4 linked regions of the Callithrix jacchus genome follow. The protein of the gene in region 3 purifies or fractionates together with the protein of the main gene of each other region. This does not show direct contact. Links are inferred from orthologs where the notes say so. Each region holds a gene or a part of one and is shown on either strand. Other genes may lie near its edges.

Region 1 (5,015 bases), on a different chromosome or scaffold from region 3:
TTTGGTTTTTACAGGCACAATGCTATTGCACACTTAATAAACTACAGTAGAGCACAAACCTAACTTTTATATGCATTTGGAAACCAACTTTGTGTGACTGACTTAACTGTAGTGATCTGGATCTGAAGCCACAGAATCTATGAGGTAAACCTGTACCTGAGGTACAGAAATGGACAGGTTTTCAAATGCCGTGATGATCAGAACAGCTTGATGTCTAATAATAACATGTAATTGTTCCCATTCTTGTGGAAAAGGGTTTTGTGTTTTTCCTTTAGTGCTTTTAGATACAATCTCATAAACTCTTATAGTATTCTACCAAATCATTAAAAGGTTGTGCTAACCTGTGAAGGTAACTTAAAGTTCCAAAAACATTTCAAAAGATAATGAAGAAAGTACTCACAAGATAAAGTTAATACATACCAAGGCAGAGCCTCTCAACTTGTGTACTAGGAATGCTGCAGAGTCCCCTCAGCTCATGGGGAAAAAAAGTGGGGCCTCAGTGCAACCAGAGTAAATGGGTTTCTGCTAAGTGGTATCTAGTCTATTCCAATGTGCCATACAAAAGTGTGTTAAGGAATGAAAGACTGGGAACCATCTATTCAGTGGGAAATGCTAATCAGAAAACCAGGAGATGCAGGTCCAATTCTTCATCAACTCACTAGCTGAGTGTTCTTAGTTAAATTAACCTCTTTGGGACACTTGGGCTCCTCATTTATTAAATGAAAACTAGAGTATTTCAATGGCCTCTTCCAGTTCTAAAACCCGTAATTTCCCTTACATTGACACTTCATAATATAAAACAGTAGTCATTACTCATTTAATTAAAAACTCTAAATTAAGATATTCAATAAATACTTGTTATTTATTGAACCTAGTGAGTATCTGGGAAACAAATATGGAAGATGAAATCCCTAAATAGATCTTATTGTGAATAATCTTTGTATCACTTTTAGGAGGTTAAATAGTAAAGCCTTCAGAACAGGTGCCTAAATAAAGGAAATTGCACAGATAACAGAAGCCTGCCTATGCATAATAAATATTTACTTTAGCTATAATCAGAGCTTCTACCAATATCTAAGAATTTCCTCCTCTACACCCTTCAACTGCTTTAAAAAGAAAAATTATAGTCATTTAAATTTATTTGCAAATTACATTTATAATTAAAATTGATTTCTAAGGTAAACATTTATAAAAATAAAGACTCTCAAAAGGACTTCATCTTATTTTCAGATTATAGCAAGAAAATCAATGTGCTCCATATATTTTACCCATGATGAAACTTATTCCATACCCATTATTTTATATATATAGTTTAACTGGGTGGGTTTGGGTGGGAGAAGGCATGAATTCAAAATTTTACTTAAATATCACATAATTTAATGTTCTCCCAAGAATCTGAGCTGAAATTTTCATATGAATACAGTTTCACAAAGGCTACAAATATATATCAACTTAAACAGAAGGAATTATTTAGTATTTAACAGTGTTTTTAAAAATCTAGCTCTATAATCACTTTTTCTTAAAAAAAAAAAAATCCTTACTACATAATATGACAAGTCCACATTTCTCTAGAAATGCATAGTCACCTAATAGTAAGGTCCAAAATGAGAATTACTATCTCCAGAAGAGGGTGGAGGAGGCAGCGGTGGAGGGGGAGGAGGTGGGGGTAGGGAGTATGGTAAGTTAAGTAATGGATGAGCTGCCATGTTTGGTGTAGCCCAACGCATGTTTACAGGTGGGGGTGGTGGAGGTGGTGGGCAGAGTGAAAAATTATGCATATCAAACATTGGAGGGGGAAAGGGGTATTGTGGCATAATGGGATTATCTTGTCTCTGGGAAGGAAATCCTGAAGTCTCCTGAGATACCATATGTTCTGAGTTATAGAACTGCTGAGGTAGAGGCCTGCCATGGCAAAATCGAGGGTATCTGCTCCTGGAAAATCCTCGTGTGAATTCTCTGTTGCGATATCCTTTTGAATGTTCTGAAGCAGAGCTATGAGCATTCCAATTCTGATGTACTTCAGCAAAATCTTCACCTTTGAGTGAGGGGAGGGAAAACATAAAAATGAAAATAAGTTTAATATATCAAAAAGCACTGTTTGAAAGTTTAATTATGCTTTTTCTTTATTATCTAGTATATCTTATGGCAGTTAAAAGAGTATGTCTTAAAATAATCAATTTTAAAGGAACTGAAAAGACAAAACTTAATGCCAAAGAAAGAGAACCTAGCAAGACAGAAAACACTTAGACAATAACTATTCTACTCCAGCCAAACACCAGAGAAGAAAACGTGGCACCATCTCTACACACTCTCAAAGGCTGAGTACAGATCTTAGACTTCTGTCCTTGACAGGCAGTAATGAGCGATCCAACCCTTCTACCACAGTAGCATCAGGAACAAGCTGAACACGGTATGGGTAATAAGGCCTCCCCGCAATGGCAGTAAACATCACATGGGGAACCTGAACTTCCACCTCTACTGGCAGCAACACAGTGTTCTTCCATCTTTTACACTGGGGTAATGTCAGAGAAGACTGAGTAAGAGTTAGGATTTTTGTCCCCACACAGTTGATAACAAGGCCATCCTCCACTGGTGTTACTGCATGCCATATGGGGAGTAGTGACAAAGTACTCCTGTCCCTCCAGGAATAAGAAAAGACCCTATGGGATGTCAGAACTTCTACCCTCATCTAGCAGTAACAAGGCTCTCCTTGGCCAAAGGTGTCAAAAGAGGCTAATAGGAATTCCTAGACTTCAATCTACCCTATTCTTTCACTGCCAGAGTAGTATTTTAAAAAACAAAACAAAGAAGATAAAACAACAAACCCAGCTAAAACAGAAGATTTACATAAGATCCATGGTCTTGTAATATATTACTCAAAACACCCAAGTTTCAGTTAAAAAAAAGGGGCTCATTACAAAAAGAGCCAGGAAGATTTCATTCAATTAAAAAAAAAAATCAACCAAGGGCATCACAAAGATCTTAGAATTATGAAAGATAGTAAAGCAGTCATAAAAATGTTTCAACAAGATATTATGAACATTCTAAATTAAAATTACAAAGTTTTAGCAAAAAAAAACGAAGATAAAAGAACAAATTGAAATTTCAGAAATGAGCATTACAACAACCAAAAACAAACAAACAAAGAAAAAAAAAACAATAGAATATTGAAGGAGAAGAATAAAGCTGGAGGACTGAAACTATCCAACTTCAAGACTTATTATAATGCTTCAGATATCACAGCAGTGAGGTACTGGTGAAAGAGACAAATAAATCAATAGGACAAAATAGAAAGTACAAAAACAAACCCATAAAACATAATCAACTGATATTTAACAAAAGAGCAAAAGCAATACAACAGAGCAGAAGTAGTCTTTTCAACAAATAGGGCTGGAACACCAGGACATCCATATGCAAAAAATAAATCTAGACAATAGCCTTACACCATTCATAAGAATTAATTCAAAATGAATCACAGACCTCAATGTAAAGTGCAGAATTACAAAATTCCTAAAAGATAACAGAGAAGAAAATACAGATGACCCTGAGTTGATACTGACTTTCTAGATAGGACACCAAAGGCATGATAAATGAAAGAAAGAATCGATTCGCTGAATTTCATTAAACTTAAAAATTTCTGATAAACAAAAGATACTGTCAGTCAGAAAAATGAAAGACTAAAGCTCAAGAGTTCAAGGTTACAGTGAGCTATGATTGTACCGCTGCATTCTAGCCTGGGCAACAGAGCATGAACCTCAAAAAACAGGCAAACAAAAAAAAAAACCTCAGCAAGATATTTGTTGATGTACAGAACATTCTAAAATTTATACTGAAAGGTAAAAGACCTAGAATATCACTAATAATTTTTAAAAACAGAAATAAAGTAGGAGTTATCACTCTAAGCAATTTCAAGACTAACTTCGCTTTCTACACAAATTTACCTCAAAATGAATCGCAAGTGTAAAATGTAAAACAGAAGACTACAAAACTTTTAGGAAAAAAAATAGAAGAAAATCATTAGGATCTAAAGCTAAGCAGGAAGTTCTTAGATTCCATAAACAAAACTGATAAATTAATTTTCCTCCAAACTAAAACCTTTAGTCTTGCAAGAGGACCTCTTAAAAGGGGGAAAAGATTATAGACTAGAACAAATTATGAACAAATCATGTATCTGACAGAAAGCTAGTATATCTAAAGTATACATTTTTAAATTCTCAAAACTCGACAGTAAAAATCCAGAAATAGTATTTAAAAATGGGCAAAATAGGGCCGGGCGCGGTGGCTCAAGCCTGTAATCCCAGCACGTTGGGAGGCCAAGGCGGGTGGATCACGAGGTCAAGAGATCGAGACCATCCTGGTCAACATGGTGAAACCCTGTCTCTACTAAAAATACAAAAAATTAGCTGGGCATGGTGGTGCGTGCCTGTAATCCCAGCTACTCAGGAGGCTGAGGCAGGAGAATTGCCTGAACCCAGGACACGGAGGTTGCAGTGAGCCAAGATCGCGCCATTGCATTCCAGCCTGGGTAAACAAGAGCAAAACTCCATCTCAAAAAAAAAAAGGGCAAAATATATGGATTGACACATCACTCAAGATACAGATAGTAAATGAGCACATGTAAAGATGTTCAACATCATTAGCCATTAGGAAAATGCAAATTGAAACCACAATTATATTAGCACTACATATCTAGCAGAATGGCTAAAATTAAAAATAGTGATAACACCAAATGCTAGAGAAAATGCAACGAAATTGTCACTCATATACTGCTGATGGAAATGTAAAATGTTGCAGCCACGCTGAAAAACAGTACGGCAATTTCTTAGGAAACTAAACATGTAATGCAATTATTATACAACCAAGCAAATGTACTCTTGGGCATTTATTCCAGAGACATAAAAATCTGTTTTCACAAAAAACTTGTAACAAATATTTATAGCTGCTTTTTTCCTAATCACCCCAAAATGGAAACAACCTTGATGTGTTTCAATGGATGAATGGTCAGGTAATCTGGT
Region 2 (5,117 bases), on a different chromosome or scaffold from region 3:
TCCCTTTCTTTGTCTTTCTTTTTCCTATCTTTATCTATACTTCGACTCCTCTCCTTTTTCCTCTCTTGTTCTTTAGCCTCACCTTTATGCTTATGACTGTTGCCACTAAGATTTCCACGTTGATCATCAATTTTACGCCTATCTCGACTCCTACTTCGACTGGAACGATTGGTTCGTCTATCCCTTGAGCGACTTCTACTCCTACGTCTCTCTCGGGAAGGACTCCGATTTCGTCGTCTTTCTCTTTCAATGCTATTTCTATTAGATCTCCTCCTATCTCTTATCTTTACCCTAGCTCTATTGCTCTCTATTTTAATTCTGCGAGAGTAGCTTCTACTCCTGCTACGTCTAGCTTTGATTGTTGGAGATCTACTCCTACTGTGTCTCTTTTTCCTTTTAGGAGAAGAAGACCGAGAAGAAGTGCGACTACTACCTGAGCTAGAACTGTATGAAGAGCTAGAGACAGTACTACTAGTACTACTAGTTCTGCTATTGCTACTGGAACTACCACTACTAGAACTTCCTGACCTACTCCTTCCTTGTTTTTCTTTTTCTTTATGCTCTTTTTTTGGTTCTAAAACTGATGTGGTTTCATTTGGAGTTCTCTTCTTTTCATTAACCACATCACCGTCTGCTTCTCTTGCTTCTAGTAGTGATAAACTATTTTGCTCTTTATGGATAAATTCATTCATCTCTTTTGTAACCCTTTCTGTTTGTTGCTTTTCTTCTGAAACAGAAAAAGACAAAAATACTAAGAAAATTTGAATGTAAAATTTTCATACTACCAAATTTCAAGCTACCAGACTATAACAATAGAACACTACTGTTCAACAAAATTACAATGCAAGAGATGTAAGTAACTCAAGACTTTTTACTAACCACATTAAAAAAGTAAAAAGAAACAGGTAAATAACACAATACACCAAAAATATTATCACTTCAATACATAATGAATTTTTTTAAAAAGTGAGATGTTCTCATTTCTAAGTAAAGTTTTGAAAGTTAGCATGTAATATATACCTACAGCACATGCCTAGCCACATTTCAAGTCCTCTATAGCTACATGTAGTTAGTCAAGTTACCCACCCTGGGCAGTGTAGCAAAATACAGTATCAAGATATAGAGGTGCATGTGAGGAAAGTAAGAAAACACTTCCCTTTTGTCCAATTAAAGCAAAATTGTAAAGGTAAATACGTGGTTTATAGAAAAGTCACTCAATAATTACCTTTCAAATTGTCCAATTAAGATTTTTCAAAGAAGAAATTCTAAGTAAATTTTCTCTTTTGTTATTCCTAGTATTATTATGTAAAGTATCTTAAGTAAAAACTTCTCTATTATCCTTCCATATCCTAGCTACAAATTACTTTTCAATAGTCTTACAAATATATTTTTACCATTTCAAAAGTCATCTTTTTTTATTTCAAAAATTTTAACAAGAAACAAAAATACCCTAAATAGCTTGGCTTATAGCCACTGCAATGAATGGCTCCTAAAACAACCAAACAAAAATTTTGACTTTAGTTTCAGTTATATCACATATTACCTAAAATCTAGCCTTTATTTTATCCTTTTACATTTTTAGGTTGGTTTAAAAAATAAAAAGAAATACAAAACTGGACCAAAATTAAGTCTAAATGGTATACTACACCTTCCATCTGTTTATCATGTAACAGCTGCTGTTCCTTTTCTTTTCTCCAAAAAGCTTCCTGTTTTTGCCGGATTCGATGCCGTAATTCCTCATCATCAGTGTCAGATGACTCAGAGCCTCTGTCACTCCTTTCATCTTCGCTGTCTCCTGATCCATAACCACCCAGTCCACCTGTGTGCATAAAGCTCAGTCTATCACATGAAAAAAATTATACTATGCACTAAAAACTTTTCAAGGTCTGAGAAGAAAGCTCATTTCTTTTTCATTGCCTTTTCCCGGAAGAATATCCTTATTCGGGGTGGGGAGAAGTATATATTCAGAAGCTTAAGGAGTTCACAGAACTTTCAGGCAAAGGTTACTTATTATCTTATTCTTTCTGGAATATTTCATATTTTTCTCACTGTAAAGGAATCATAATGGGTTTGTTGTACTGTCCATGCTAACCAACGAAACTTCTTAACAGGGCAGTAACAAAGCCACACTAAAGCTTAATCAATTCAATTACCTTAATGAAATTTATGATGATCCTGAAAATATTTCTAAAATTAACTTACATTGTTCAAAGTTTAGAAATCTCTAGCAGTTTTTTCCCTAAAAAAACTAGAATACTGTAATCTCCCCGTTACAGAAATATCATGGTGCTGAAACTACTCCCCACCCTGAAATGATCTAAAAAAACATAATAAAAGCACATGAGCATTTGGTTCTACCCACTTCTCTGGGTTCTCACAAAGATTAATTTGAAATGAAGAATTTGTGGAAAAGGCAAATTCAAGCTTTACAGCCTTGATAATATTCCATGCAAATAGTAAATTATGAACACATTACTACTATTATACTATGATAAGATAAACCCTTTCCTCTATATTTAAACTTGACTTGCTGCAACACAATCTATATAAAAGTTATTGAAAGCATTAGTGGATAGGTTCTTCCCTAAGGCATGTATGCAATAATTCTGAAAGTGAGCTTAGATACTATCATGGCTAAATTATGAATTAGTAAGTACAAACTATAGGTGTTCATATATAATTATATATAATGCAATATTGGAGCAATAAGGAAAGCCTCCAATATAACTTGCCCCAATAAACTATGAATTAACAATCACATTTATAAACTTCTCACTGTGAATGCGTTAGTCAAAAAAATAGTCAAACCTTTTTAGACACTGACATAACCCTAAGACCTAGGTTTTTATAAACTGAGTAGGACTAATACAGTTTCAAAACAGAACATGTAGAGAGACAATGTATGTGTGATTTTTTTCCCTTTAGGCCCTCTCACAAATATGAAAAACACTTACCGAGTCCAGTGAGGGAAGCCAGTGCACTGGACTGTGCCAGCTGTTTTGCAGGAGCTTTGTATCACATCAACAACAGGAACAACATGTTAACACAAATAGCCACGATTTCATAGTCATGAGAGTCTACGGTATTGTTAAATCTACTACTATTGCTGCTTTTTGGGGAGAGAAGAAACATTAAAAACATAACATTCATTTTAAACCAGTATCATGTCTGGCTTTGAAATTATAACTCTGATGTGAGCTGAAATTGGTTTATAATGAGAAAAAATGTTGCCAAGTATATCTGTATGTCTATTTCTGAGATTATGAAATATAATTTTTTTCAATACATTTTTAAGTGTTACTAAAAATACAGGGGTAGGGAATCATTTGCTTCTGTAAGAGATAACTGGTAAACTAAAAACTGTAGGTTGATAATTCAAAATTCATTAGTCAAAATAAACTGTATTAAAAGTCATACACCAATGCCATGGTATCTATAAAAAAAAATATCAGGTGAAATAAACTGAACATCAGGAATTTTCCATAATACATTTTAGAGGACAACAGCATGATTGCTAATTTGTACTCAGGAAGGTCAGATAAACAAAAATAGTTGTGTATAGCTTTAATATGGTGTCTACAAATCTAATCTTTAAGAGTCAAAACATGCAAGAGAATATTCGAATATCTGGTAGAAATCCAACAAGGACAACAAAAAAAGTCCAAAATAGTCATCAGAACCAAAATATCCCAGGAAAAGCAAAACCCAAAACACCAAAATATACCTTTCGTTGCTTTGCGGTGTGCGTCTTTGGCTACGTAATAAATTTCTTCATCTGTGACATCGAGTAGAATTTCTGTCAGAAGCATTTTTGTCAGCAACATCTAAAAAAAGAGTATTTTATACAGTATTTCTAATTACTATAGTTACTAGTAGTATGACATTTTCGAAAATATTAAAACAAAAAGCCTTTTATTTCCCCAGACAGAGTCTCACTCTGTTGCCCAGGCTGGATCGTAGTGGTATATTGGCTCACTACAACCCCACCTCCAGGGTTCAAGTGACTCTCTTGCCTCAGTCTCCCAAGTGGCTGAGACTATCGGCATGTAACACCATATCCAGGTAATTTTTGTATTTTTAGTAGAAACAGGGTTTCACCATGTTGGCCAGGCTGGTCTTCCACTCCTGATCTCAAGTGATCTGCCTGCCTTGACCTCCCAAAGTGCTGGGATTGTGGTGTGAGCCACGGTGCCCAATAGCAAAGCCATTTTATAAAATATTTTTAGACATCAGAGCAGCCATTCCAAGGAATAAACATCTTGAACATTTTTCTGTTATATCAAAACTTCAAAAAAATTCCAAAATCATATGGATCAAAGAAAAAAATATTATAAATATATCTTTATAGCATAGACACTGAATTCAAAACACTTTTTTCTTTCTTTTTTTCTGAGACAGGGTCTCACTCTGTCACCCAGGCTGAAAGGCATTGGCACCACCTAGGCTCACTGTTAACTTCTGCTTTCCCAGGCTCAAACAATCCTCCCACCATAGCCTCCTGAGTTGCTGGGACTATAGGTGCACCTCACTATGCCTGGCTAATTTTCTATAGAGACAATTTCTCACTGTATTGCCCAGGCTGGTCTCAAACTCCTGGACTTAAGCAATTCTCCTGTCTCGGCTCCCTGAAACTAAGATTACCCCAGCCTGAAATCAAAACATTTTAAAAAGGTCCCTATTAATAGAAGTTTCTACAAACATTTTTAGTTGAAAGGAGTATCTCTTCATTTAATATTGGTAGGCAGCTCTAGTTTCTATTTTTTCCTTTAAAATTGTTTCAAAAACAAGATGCAAACAATATAAATATGTCTACATAGTAAGAAATTTAACATTCTACCATTTGATACTCTTTCTCCTCTTCAGTCATCTCAGGCTCACTGTGTTCTTCTTGAGGAACTGGGGATGGACTTCTGGTGACTTTCCCACTACTTGCAGCCTCAACATTTTCAGTGTCTTCTTCTTCCTCATCACTATCCTATAAAAAAAAATAGTATATTAGTCCAAATCCATGTTTATAATGTAAAATCCTTATCTTACATATCAAAAATCTTAAACCCCAAATTAAAGTCTATGAAACAGAAATATGAGAGAAATTGCTATTTAAATTACATTTACTA
Region 3 (5,117 bases):
CTAAGACCGCTGACAGGGCCTCGCTGGAGGACCAGCTCTCAGGGCAAGGCCACCCAAATTTAGGGCCTGGGAGAGTGTGGGACCTGCAGGGCCTGCCTGGGGGAATGGTGAGGCAAGAAGGGAAGGGGAAGGAGAGCAGGAGCCTCCTGAGTATCCCTAGAGCAGCATCCCACAAGGAACAGAAACTGGTGAAGCTAGCAGAAGACAGAAAAGCCACAAGGAATCCATGCAGGGGCTGGGGCCGGCCCTGCCTCTGGCCTGCCCACCACTCACACACATACACACAGGAGACGAGACTGCTCTCCCGTGACCCCTAGGTATGCCCCACTGGGATGCGGGGGCATGGGGGAGCGAGGGCATCATGCCAGTGACTCTATGTACAAGAAGCCCCTCATTCACTCTTCCACCCTTCTGCCCATCCCCCGCCCCCCCTCACCAGGCTGCCTACTCAGCTGGTCTCCTCCCTTTGAGACTCCTGGGCATAACCAGCAGCCTCTTCCCCTTTACTGGAGGGTGGAGCCTGGCCTGTGGCGCCCTCTGGGGCTGTGCTGTCCGGCTGGGCCATAGCCGGCTCAGGGGTGGCAGCTGCCTTGGTGGCCAGTGTGGCACTGCTTTGGGTGGTGGGCACAGTGCTCTCTTCTGTGGCTGGTGTGGCTCTCCCATCAATGGCTGGAGTAGTGCTCCTGTCAGTGGCTGGGGTGACACTCCCATCAGTGGCTGGGGTGATGCTTCCATCGGTGGCTGGGGTGACACTGCCATCAGTGGCACTTCCATCTGTGGCTGGGGTGGCACTACGGTCTGCGGGGGCCACATTATCACTCTTTGCAGCACGAGCAGCATCACCCTCAGGGGCTGAGGTAGCTCCACTCACAGCTGCAGCTGTGGCCCCACCTGTAGCCCCAGGGGTGGCAGTGTCTGCTGCTGAGGCTGACTGTGCTGCAGCCATGCTGGACTGCTCTGGCGCTCGGAGCCGTTTCATGAGGGTGGTCACTCGGACAGCCTTCTGAAAGGAGCACAGTGGAGAAAGGCTAAGGGTAAGGCTTGCTGGATCCATTGCATGGCAGTGACCAAACCAAACCCCTTCCATAGTACCCCTGGCTGTCTCCAACCACCCCAGGGCCAAATACCCAGCTGCTCAGCACTCCTACTTAAGATAATGACAGTGGCTACACCCACACCTGATGGCCTGAGTAAAGCTTGTGTGTGGCTGCAGGGGTGTGATGCAGGCAACAAGCTGAATGCCAGAAGGAATACTTGGGATAGAGCCAAGAAGAGAGCTATCCAAGCCTTACCTTCCACTTGGCCCTGGCAAAGTTCTTTTCAATCTGGGCACAGACACCATCCTTGATGTTCTTATCAGAAGCAGCATTGCCAGAAATCCTGGAAAGGGTGCAAGTGTGTCTGGATCTGAGGGGATGAGCCTTGTGGAGACTCTGCCCACCTCTTTCATGTGGCATCCAGGGACTACCAGGTAGAATCTCTGGGTGGGCCTGAGCTCTAGGTGCCTGTATCCCCTCAGGCCTCAAAAATGGGGCTGCTAGGTGTAAGGGGGACTCTGGCCTCTCCCACCCTCCCTTAGGCCCTGCTCACCACTCATGGGAGATGGCCTCTTCTGCAGTGATTCGCTGGTCTTGCTCCACCTCCATCAGCCTTGTGACCAGGTCTTTGGCTGTGAACAAAACCAAAGAGGGGCTAGGCATGGGCACTCCATCTCAATGTCTAGAGGTGATGAATGGGCTGGGGGACAGAAGCAGAATCCCACAGAGGAAACCGAGAGCAGGAACCCTACCCACTGCTGTGCACTCTTACCAAGTGCTGGGCAGTCACCTCCTCACCTGCCTGCGAAATATCATCCCAATATGGAGAGTCAAACTCATAGTCACCAGCCAGGATCTTGCGGAAGAGATTCTTATCATGGTTCTCATAGTCATCTTCTTCCACCTCTTCATAAAAAGGTGGGTTGCCTGAAAGCCTGCATGGGGGAAGGGTCACACAGAAAGGCCACAGACACACACTCCCACCCCATCTGACTGCAAGTCTGCTTGTCCATGTGTCCACTCACAGGATGTACATGATGACTCCAATGGCCCAGCAGTCCACAGGGCGTCCATACCGCTGCCGGCCTACCACCTCCGGGGCTACAAACACAGCACCCATCTGCTGGTCAGTATCAGGCCTAGCCAGGTCCAGTACCATCCACAACCACTTCTTGAGATAAGCACATTTTCCCCCTGCTCAGAGCAGCTCCCTGAAGCCTGCCCCCCATTCTCCTCCTGCCCCTGCCCCTGCCCCACCCCCTGCTTGCCCAGATACTCGGGGGTCCCACAGGGCTCCTTGATGAGGCCATTTTCTAGCTTAGCCAGATGGAAGTCACTGATGACAATCTTCGAGTTTTTCAGCCGGTTATAGTAAACAAGGTTCTCCAGCTGTGGTGTGAGAATAACATGTGAGCACCAGAGCAGAAGACACCATGAGGGCCTCGGAGGCTAGACCAAGGCCCCAAGGTGCTGCCCACCCCACCCCAGCCCAGCTGCCAACTGGCCCTTTGACTATGGCTCTGGCCTCACCTTGAGGTTCCTGTGCACGATCTTGAGTGAGTGCAAGTAGGCCACGGCCTCCAGGACCTGCCGTACCACGTTGCTCGTGTCTCGCTCAGAGTAGTAGCCCTGGTCCAGGATCCAGTCAAACACCTCCCTCCCCGTGGCCCTGAGGGACACCAGCCCCTGAGCCTGGCGTGGGCGGAATTGGGGGTGGGGCAGGAGCACTTGGGTGAGCTGTCTATGCCAGGCAGCTGGCTGAGCAAGGCACAGGGACCTGGGACCCCAAGGGTCCAGAAAAGGGGGTCTCCTTAGCTGCAGGGGGTGGGACAGGTAAAGGCCCTGGGCACTGAGGAATCCTGGTACCCCAGACCCACACTCACAGCTCCAGGAAGATGAAATACTCCTTGCGGGTCACAAACACATCCACCAGTTGCAGGATGTTGGGATGCTTCACCCTGGCGACAGGGAGGGGAGCCAGTAGTTAGAGCTGGATGAACCCCTGGGAGAGACTCTTGTCACCACAGTGGCCACTGCAGACTAACTGGCCAGAAGCTGGGACTACCTGAGGCCACTTGCCCTCTAAGCCCTTCCCTCTTGCTTCCCACACCACCCCAACCCCAGGCCTCAAACTCACATCTTGAGGATGCCTATCTCGTTCTTGGCAGCTTTCCGCACCTTGCGGCCGTCCCGCTTCTGGAACTTCTTACAGGTGTGCAGCTTGCCTGTTGTCTTGTCCTTGGCCCGGAAGATTTCACAGAACTCCTCACTGCAGCCGACAGGCACCCACTCAGCCCTGGCCTTAGCGTCAGCTGCACTCCACTCCCACTTCCCTAGCCCTTGCCCACCAGCCCACCCAGCCCTGCCTGACAGGCCCAGCCCAGCACTCACGTCTTGATGACCTGTCCCAAATCATATCTGTCAGTCACTTCTGACGGCTGGTTATAGTTCTTCTTGTCGCCCAGAGTCACACACCCAAACGGCATTGCCGGGCTCTAACCTGCAGGCACAAGGGGATCTGGCTTAACTATACTACTCTCCACCTCCCCACAACATAGGGGCTGCCTTTGGGAGACCCCAACCTGGCTAAGGCCAAACCAGGAGCAGAGACCATACCCGGAAGGGCTAGAAAACAGGCAAACTCAGATCCTACCCCTGCTTTTCTGGCCATACATTCAGCTACTCAGCTTGGCTGCCTGAACTACAATAGCCCACATAGGAAAAATAAACTGATATGTAAGGGAATAGTTTTGCATTCTATACATTTTAAAAAAAGACTTATCAAACAGCTTATTTAAATTTCAGCTATTTCACAGATTAAGGGAGCTATAATCACCCACCCACCTGCTAGTCATCTCTGAAGGTCTAGAGCTAACAAGTGTTAATGAAGGTATGAAGAACGTGAGCACTGCTAGGAGAGGGCAACCTCCCCTTTGTAAAGCAGTTTGGTAAAACCACTAAAGTCAAACAAACATACCCTGTAAAGCAGTAATTACACTCCTAATACGTGCCTACAGAAGTACACACATTCGTGCATCAGGACAGTCATACAAGAATGCTCATAGTGGCCATATACATAATCGCCAAAAATTGAAAACAGACCAGATACCACCACCGACAGGATATATTGTGGTAGAGTCACACAATGGAATAGTATACAGCAATGGAAAGAAAAAGCTTCAGCTATACCCAACCACATGGTGACTCTTACACAGTGTTAAGTGCAAAAAAAACACAAAAGAATACATATAGTATGAGTCTATTGATAGAGAGTTCAAATAGGCAGAACAAACCCATACTGGGGACACAAACACAGCAGTAGAGCTATAAAGAAAAGCTAGGAAATAAGCAGAGTCAGATAATAGTCCCTTATAAGAGAAAAGGAGGGGTTATGATTGAATTAGGACACATGGGGGGATTCTGGAAGACCTATTTCTTTTCTTTCTTGCTTGCTTGCTTTTTTTAGAGACAGTTATTGCTGTGTTGCCCAGGCTGGAGTGCAGTGGCTATTCGTGGGCACAAGCACACTACTGATCAGCACAGGAGTTTTGACCTGCTTTGTTTCTGACCTGGGTAGTTTCACCCCTGCTTAGGCAACCCGATGATCTCCAGGTCCCGGGAAGTCACCATACTAATGCCAAACTGGGTGTAGACACCCAACTGGCATAGTGCGCTACAGCCCAGAACTTCTGAATTCAAACGATCTTCCCACCGCAGCTGGGATTATAAGCACCCACACTATGCCCAGCTGTTCTGTCACCCAGGCTGGAATGCAGTGGCACGATCACAGCTCACTGCAGCCTCAACCTCCTGGGCTCAAGGGATCCTTCCACCTCAGCATCCTGAGTAGCTAGGACCGAACCACAGGTGCACACCATCACACCTGGCTAATTTTTCAAATTTTTTTATAGATACACGATTTTATTATGTTTCCCAGGCTGTTCTCGAACTCCTGGGCTCAAGTGATCCTCCTGCCTCAGCTTCCCAAAGGGCTGGGATTACAGGCATGACCCACCATGCCTGGCTTGGGTAGAATTTTTAAAGTTTACATATTGATGCACATTCACAAACTCTTTTCTG
Region 4 (4,657 bases), on a different chromosome or scaffold from region 3:
CCTAGCGTGAGTGAGGAGGTGCAGACCACCCCTAATAAAGCTGGGCCCAAGCTCAAAGATCCCCCACAAGGTTACTTTGGGCCCAAGCTCCCCCCATCTCTTGGCAATAAACCTATCCTTCCACTGATAGGGAAGCTCCCAGCTACCCGAAAGCCCAACAAAAAATGTGAAGAGTCTGGCTTGGAAAGGGGGGAAGAGCAAGAACAGTCAGAGATGGAAGAAGGGCCCCCAGGGAGTAGTGATCCCCTTTTTGGGCATCAGTTCCCTTCAGAGGAAACAACTGGCCCCTTATCAGAGCCACCTCCAGAAGAGCCAAAGTCTGAAGAAGCTACTGCTGATCACCCTGTGGCTCCGCTAGGCACCCCAGCACACTCTGACTGCTACCCTGGGGACCCAACCATCTCCCTTAACTACCTCCCCGAGCCCAGTGACGGAGACACCCTGGAGTCCCTGGATAGCAGCAGTCAACCAGGCCCTCTGGAATCCAGCTTGCTGCCTATAGCACCAGACCTTGAGCATTTTGCCAGTTATGTGCCTCCCAGTGGAGATCCTAGTATTGAGTCAACAGATGGGGCTGAGGATGCTTCACTGGCCCCCCTGGAGAGCCAGCCCATCACCTTCACCCCTGAGGAGATGGAGAAGTACAGCAAGCTCCAACAGGCTGCACAGCAACACATCCAACAGCAGCTTCTGGCCAAGCAAGTAAAGGCCTTTCCAGCCTCAGCTGCGCTGGCCCCAGCCACACCAGCCCTGCAGCCCATCCACATTCAGCAGCCAGCTACAGCCTCTGCCACCTCCATCACAACTGTTCAGCATGCCATCCTACAACATCATGCTGCAGCAGCTGCTGCTGCCATTGGCATTCACCCCCACCCCCATCCCCAACCACTTGCCCAGGTGCATCATATTCCCCAGCCCCATCTGACTCCCATTTCCTTGTCCCACCTCACTCACTCAATCATCCCTGGCCACCCTGCCACCTTTCTCGCTAGCCATCCCATCCACATCATTCCTGCCTCAGCCATCCATCCTGGGCCGTTCACCTTTCACCCTGTCCCACATGCTGCCCTCTACCCCACCCTACTTGCCCCACGGCCTGCTGCAGCAGCTGCCACCGCCCTCCACCTTCACCCACTACTTCACCCCATCTTCTCAGGTCAGGACCTGCAGCATCCTCCCAGCCATGGCACATGAGTTGGGGATGGGATCCTATGTAGGGCCAGGGAAGGAGAACCATAAATGTTCCCTTGGGGGTGTTGAGCCATTAATACCAGCAAATAGAAGCTGGGATGGGCAGTGTCTGGCAGCCAAAGAATTGAGTTTTGGCTTGCAGGGGTGGGTTTAGATTTGAAGTTTGCTTTGAGTTTACTATCAGGGATTTCTTTTTTCCTGTCATCCTCTCAATTTGTCTCTCCCTCTCCTGTGTTTCCAAGCTAGGGAACACCAGTAAGTGCTACCCACCCCTCTGCAGCAACATCTCCTAACTGTCAAGTTTAGATAATTCCTTCCTCCTTTTGCTTTTTATCCTCTGCTCTTCCCTTCTGTAAATTTTTAAACATTTTCCTCCTCTCTGGGCAGTGGGTTGTCACCAAAGCACTTGCTGTGGGCCCGTCTGATCTTGCCTTCTCAGTGCCACAAGGAAGGCCAAGTTGTTCTCGTGGTGAAAGTGCCACCACTTTGGGGTAGTATCTTTGACCATCCTTGGTGACCTTATGTTACCCCAGGTGAGATGGAAAGGGAGTCTGACCTGGAACCTGATGCAACTCAGGCTGCAATTCGATCCAGCCCCACATAAATGGAGCCACACATTTGGCACTGTTATCCTGATGTCCCTCACTCCAGAGGAGGCATCTCCATATCCCAGAAAAGGAGATCCTATCATGAATAGAAGCTCTGCGGAATATACAGTTGCCCATGTGCTTTCCCAGAGAGGAGTTCATGTGTCTGAAGTGAAGGGTATATTTTCTTGTTGTGTTGATGTTTCCTTTTTAATTTATAGGATTTTTTAATGTAAAAAATTGCACTGAACTCTATAAACGTAAATGCTGCTTTTTGTAGCTCATATAAGAAAGGTTCCATATTTGTAGTATACTGCAATAATATTTTTTACATCCAGCTCTTTAAGTGATCCTCGTTCTGGTGGCTTTGTGTAAATATGTTTGCCTTAGTTGAATTAAGAAACTTTAAAGGTTATAAAATGAAAACAAAAAATAAAAGTATTTGTTTTCTGCTAGGTGCAAAAGTGACTAAGCATGTATATTTTACCAAGCTCCTGTATTTTTTGAAGTTAAGAACTATAAAATGTTAAAACATTTTTTGTTGGGACAAAATGTTAAGTAATTTGTAGTAAGTAGTGCCCCCAGTATTGGGATTTTTGAGCTAATGGGCAGCGGTCAGCTTGGGGCTTCCAAGGGAGGCTCATCTTTGACAGTCTCCCTTGGGTACTTTTGTTGTTTTACACAGAGAAGCCAGTGGACCCCACAGAAGAGAAGGAGGGGACTCAACAGCTTTATTGACTGAATCTCACTGCAGTGACATGCCGTGATTTTCTGGGGGGATCCTGGGTTTCCCTGAGTAACTTGTTCCAGGCAGTCAGTCTGTTTGCCTTCCTAGTACTTAGCCTCCTCTGACAGTTTTTTTTTTTTTAATGTGCCTTTTGGGTTGTTAGAAACCGAAGTAGAAGTAGACTGGAGGATGAGTTGGAACAGTCTTCTTCCTTTTATTGGGAGGTGAGCACATTTATAGATACTTCAAATTATTTTGCTTCATAGTTTCCACGTCCTCTGCCCAGCTCAGTTTAAGCAGTAAACGTTCCTTGTTTCTTTTCTCCCATGACACTGACCAGCGTAATTACCACCTAAGCCTCTTTCACCCCTCTCCTTGCCTTTCATCCAGGCCCTCAGCCCTAATTAACACACTGACCCAAAGGTGCTTGTATTGCAGGTTCCATCTCCTTTGATGAGTTTAACAATTCCCTCTGTGGCATTTTCCTAACTATTCGTGTAGCTAGAATTGGCTGGGTGGTCACTTGGTAAGAAAAACTTCACTTACCTGGGCTAAGGCTCTGTGTTCCTGCCTTCTCAAATTCTCAAAAGAGAAAGGTTTTGAGTTTATGAGAAGAAAGTGCCAGGCAAACACAACTCTTGACTGCCCTCCCACCCTCCTACCTATTCAGTGCTCCTCGTCTGATTCAGAAGCATCACTTCTTGGATAACTAGCACTGGAAAAGCAACATCATCTGTGTAATTGAAGGGACTCATTTTTCTTTGCTTTCAGCCCATGTAAATATTTAAATAATACAGTATTAACATTTTGTGCTGCTTCCCATTAGCTTGTAGATTGAGCCATACTCTGGCTGCCTCTTTGCCTTCCTAGGGGCATTTTCCTTAACTTCCAGAATAGTGATTTTAAAACTTAAAAAAACAAACAAAATAACCTATCCTTACTTACAAGCATAACAGATTGTATTTAACTTTATCACATATGATAGAGATATATGCTGTAAAATGAGGGAAAGGAACTTTCTAATAAACCAATGATTTGTGGAAACTTAGCAGTGTCTGTCGTAATTGTTGCCCCATCCACTCAGCACTGGGTAGGGTTGGAAGTGTGGGTCAGAAATAACATCTTGTTTGAAGTGACCAAGGAACAGATCCTGTGAACCAGTTTGAGTTGTTTGCAGTTGTGCGTCTGAAAGCTTAGGCTACACAAAGAGAGGAAAGATCTTGGTGTGGGAGGAGGTAATAGTAGTTAATTTCTCTCAGTTGTAGGTAGATGTCTTGGAATGTACACCTCCTTTCCACTTCGTCTTTCACACAAGAGTTTTCTTCCATTTTAGATAGCTAATCTGTGTGTAGTAGTGTATATATAGGTGCTTACTAAATGGGTGTGGAATTTCTGGCATTGAATTTTAGGATTTTGAACTACTTTAAAAGCACTGAGATGAGAAGAATCATCTGCCAGGATTTTGTCCTCCAGGTGGAGTTCTGTAAGCCAGTCTTCAATTTCTCTCCTCAGCCTTTTAATACCACTACAATGTTTGAGCACCTCTACCTGGTGAAAAGAAATACGGCCTAATTGTTACTAAGAAGATAAAGCTCCTACTCTTCTTCCATCTCAAAAAAAAATCACAAAAGAGGCAGGCAAAATTTAGCATGGAAAGCTACCATAGATTTGTAGTGATAAATGAGTTTTCCCTCTCAACTTCAGCCCTTCAAGAAGGAAAGCCTTTCTTTCTTTTGATACATTTCTTTTCTACTCTCTCATACACCTGTGTTCTCCCCTTGATTAAAGAGAAGCTGTTCAACTTGAACCTGGGGTTGAATGCTCAGATCTGCCTGTATTCCCAAAATAGCAAAGATCCTTACCCAGAAAGAAGTGACATTAGACATACAAAAATTAGCCGGGCATGGTGGTGCACACCTGTAATCCCAGTTACTTGAGAGGCTGAGGCAGGAGAATCACTTGAACCCAGGAGGCGGAGGTTGAGCCAGGATCGCACCACTGAACTCCAGCATGGGCAGCAGAGCAAGACCCTGTCTCTCTCTCTCTCACACACACACACACACACACACACAATGACATTAGAAAATGAAAAATGAGGCCAGGGGTGGTGGCTCATGTCTAATCCCAGCACTTTGGAAGGCCAAGGCGGGTT

Evidence for each region. Proteins that work in one complex are often made in the same cells at the same time.
Region 1: the proteins of CAMKV (region 3) and NAF1 purify together in Homo sapiens (affinity purification with mass spectrometry; 3 studies listed by BioGRID and IntAct, with this or other methods). This does not show direct contact. The link is inferred for Callithrix jacchus from reciprocal best matches to the Homo sapiens genes CAMKV and NAF1.
Region 2: the proteins of CAMKV (region 3) and PNISR purify together in Homo sapiens (affinity purification with mass spectrometry; 3 studies listed by BioGRID and IntAct, counting the BioPlex papers as one, with this or other methods). This does not show direct contact. The link is inferred for Callithrix jacchus from reciprocal best matches to the Homo sapiens genes CAMKV and PNISR.
Region 4: the proteins of CAMKV (region 3) and GPATCH8 purify together in Homo sapiens (affinity purification with mass spectrometry; 3 studies listed by BioGRID and IntAct, counting the BioPlex papers as one, with this or other methods). This does not show direct contact. The link is inferred for Callithrix jacchus from reciprocal best matches to the Homo sapiens genes CAMKV and GPATCH8.

The regions. Positions count from the first base shown.
Region 1 is NC_133504.1:32,765,043-32,770,057, reverse strand, and holds part of NAF1 (H/ACA ribonucleoprotein complex non-core subunit NAF1), read right to left. Parts: intron 2,036-5,015; coding exon 1,587-2,035; 3' UTR 157-1,586; coding exon of another isoform or gene 23-156; 3' UTR 1-22. UniProt on the Homo sapiens protein: RNA-binding protein required for the maturation of box H/ACA snoRNPs complex and ribosome biogenesis.
Region 2 is NC_133505.1:105,435,776-105,440,892, forward strand, and holds part of PNISR (arginine/serine-rich protein PNISR), read right to left. Parts: intron 4,976-5,117; coding exon 4,838-4,975; intron 3,825-4,837; coding exon 3,725-3,824; intron 3,009-3,724; coding exon 2,955-3,008; intron 1,820-2,954; coding exon 1,649-1,819; intron 728-1,648; coding exon 1-727.
Region 3 is NC_133516.1:32,471,951-32,477,067, forward strand, and holds part of CAMKV (caM kinase-like vesicle-associated protein), read right to left. Parts: intron 3,538-5,117; 5' UTR 3,524-3,537; coding exon 3,429-3,523; intron 3,307-3,428; coding exon 3,175-3,306; intron 2,996-3,174; coding exon 2,921-2,995; intron 2,707-2,920; coding exon 2,568-2,706; intron 2,427-2,567; coding exon 2,306-2,426; intron 2,139-2,305; coding exon 2,063-2,138; intron 1,973-2,062; coding exon 1,836-1,972; intron 1,670-1,835; coding exon 1,591-1,669; intron 1,381-1,590; coding exon 1,293-1,380; intron 1,004-1,292; coding exon 449-1,003; 3' UTR 1-448. UniProt on the Homo sapiens protein: Does not appear to have detectable kinase activity.
Region 4 is NC_133506.1:71,235,683-71,240,339, reverse strand, and holds the end of GPATCH8 (G patch domain-containing protein 8), read left to right. Parts: coding exon 1-1,194; 3' UTR 1,195-3,549; downstream 3,550-4,657.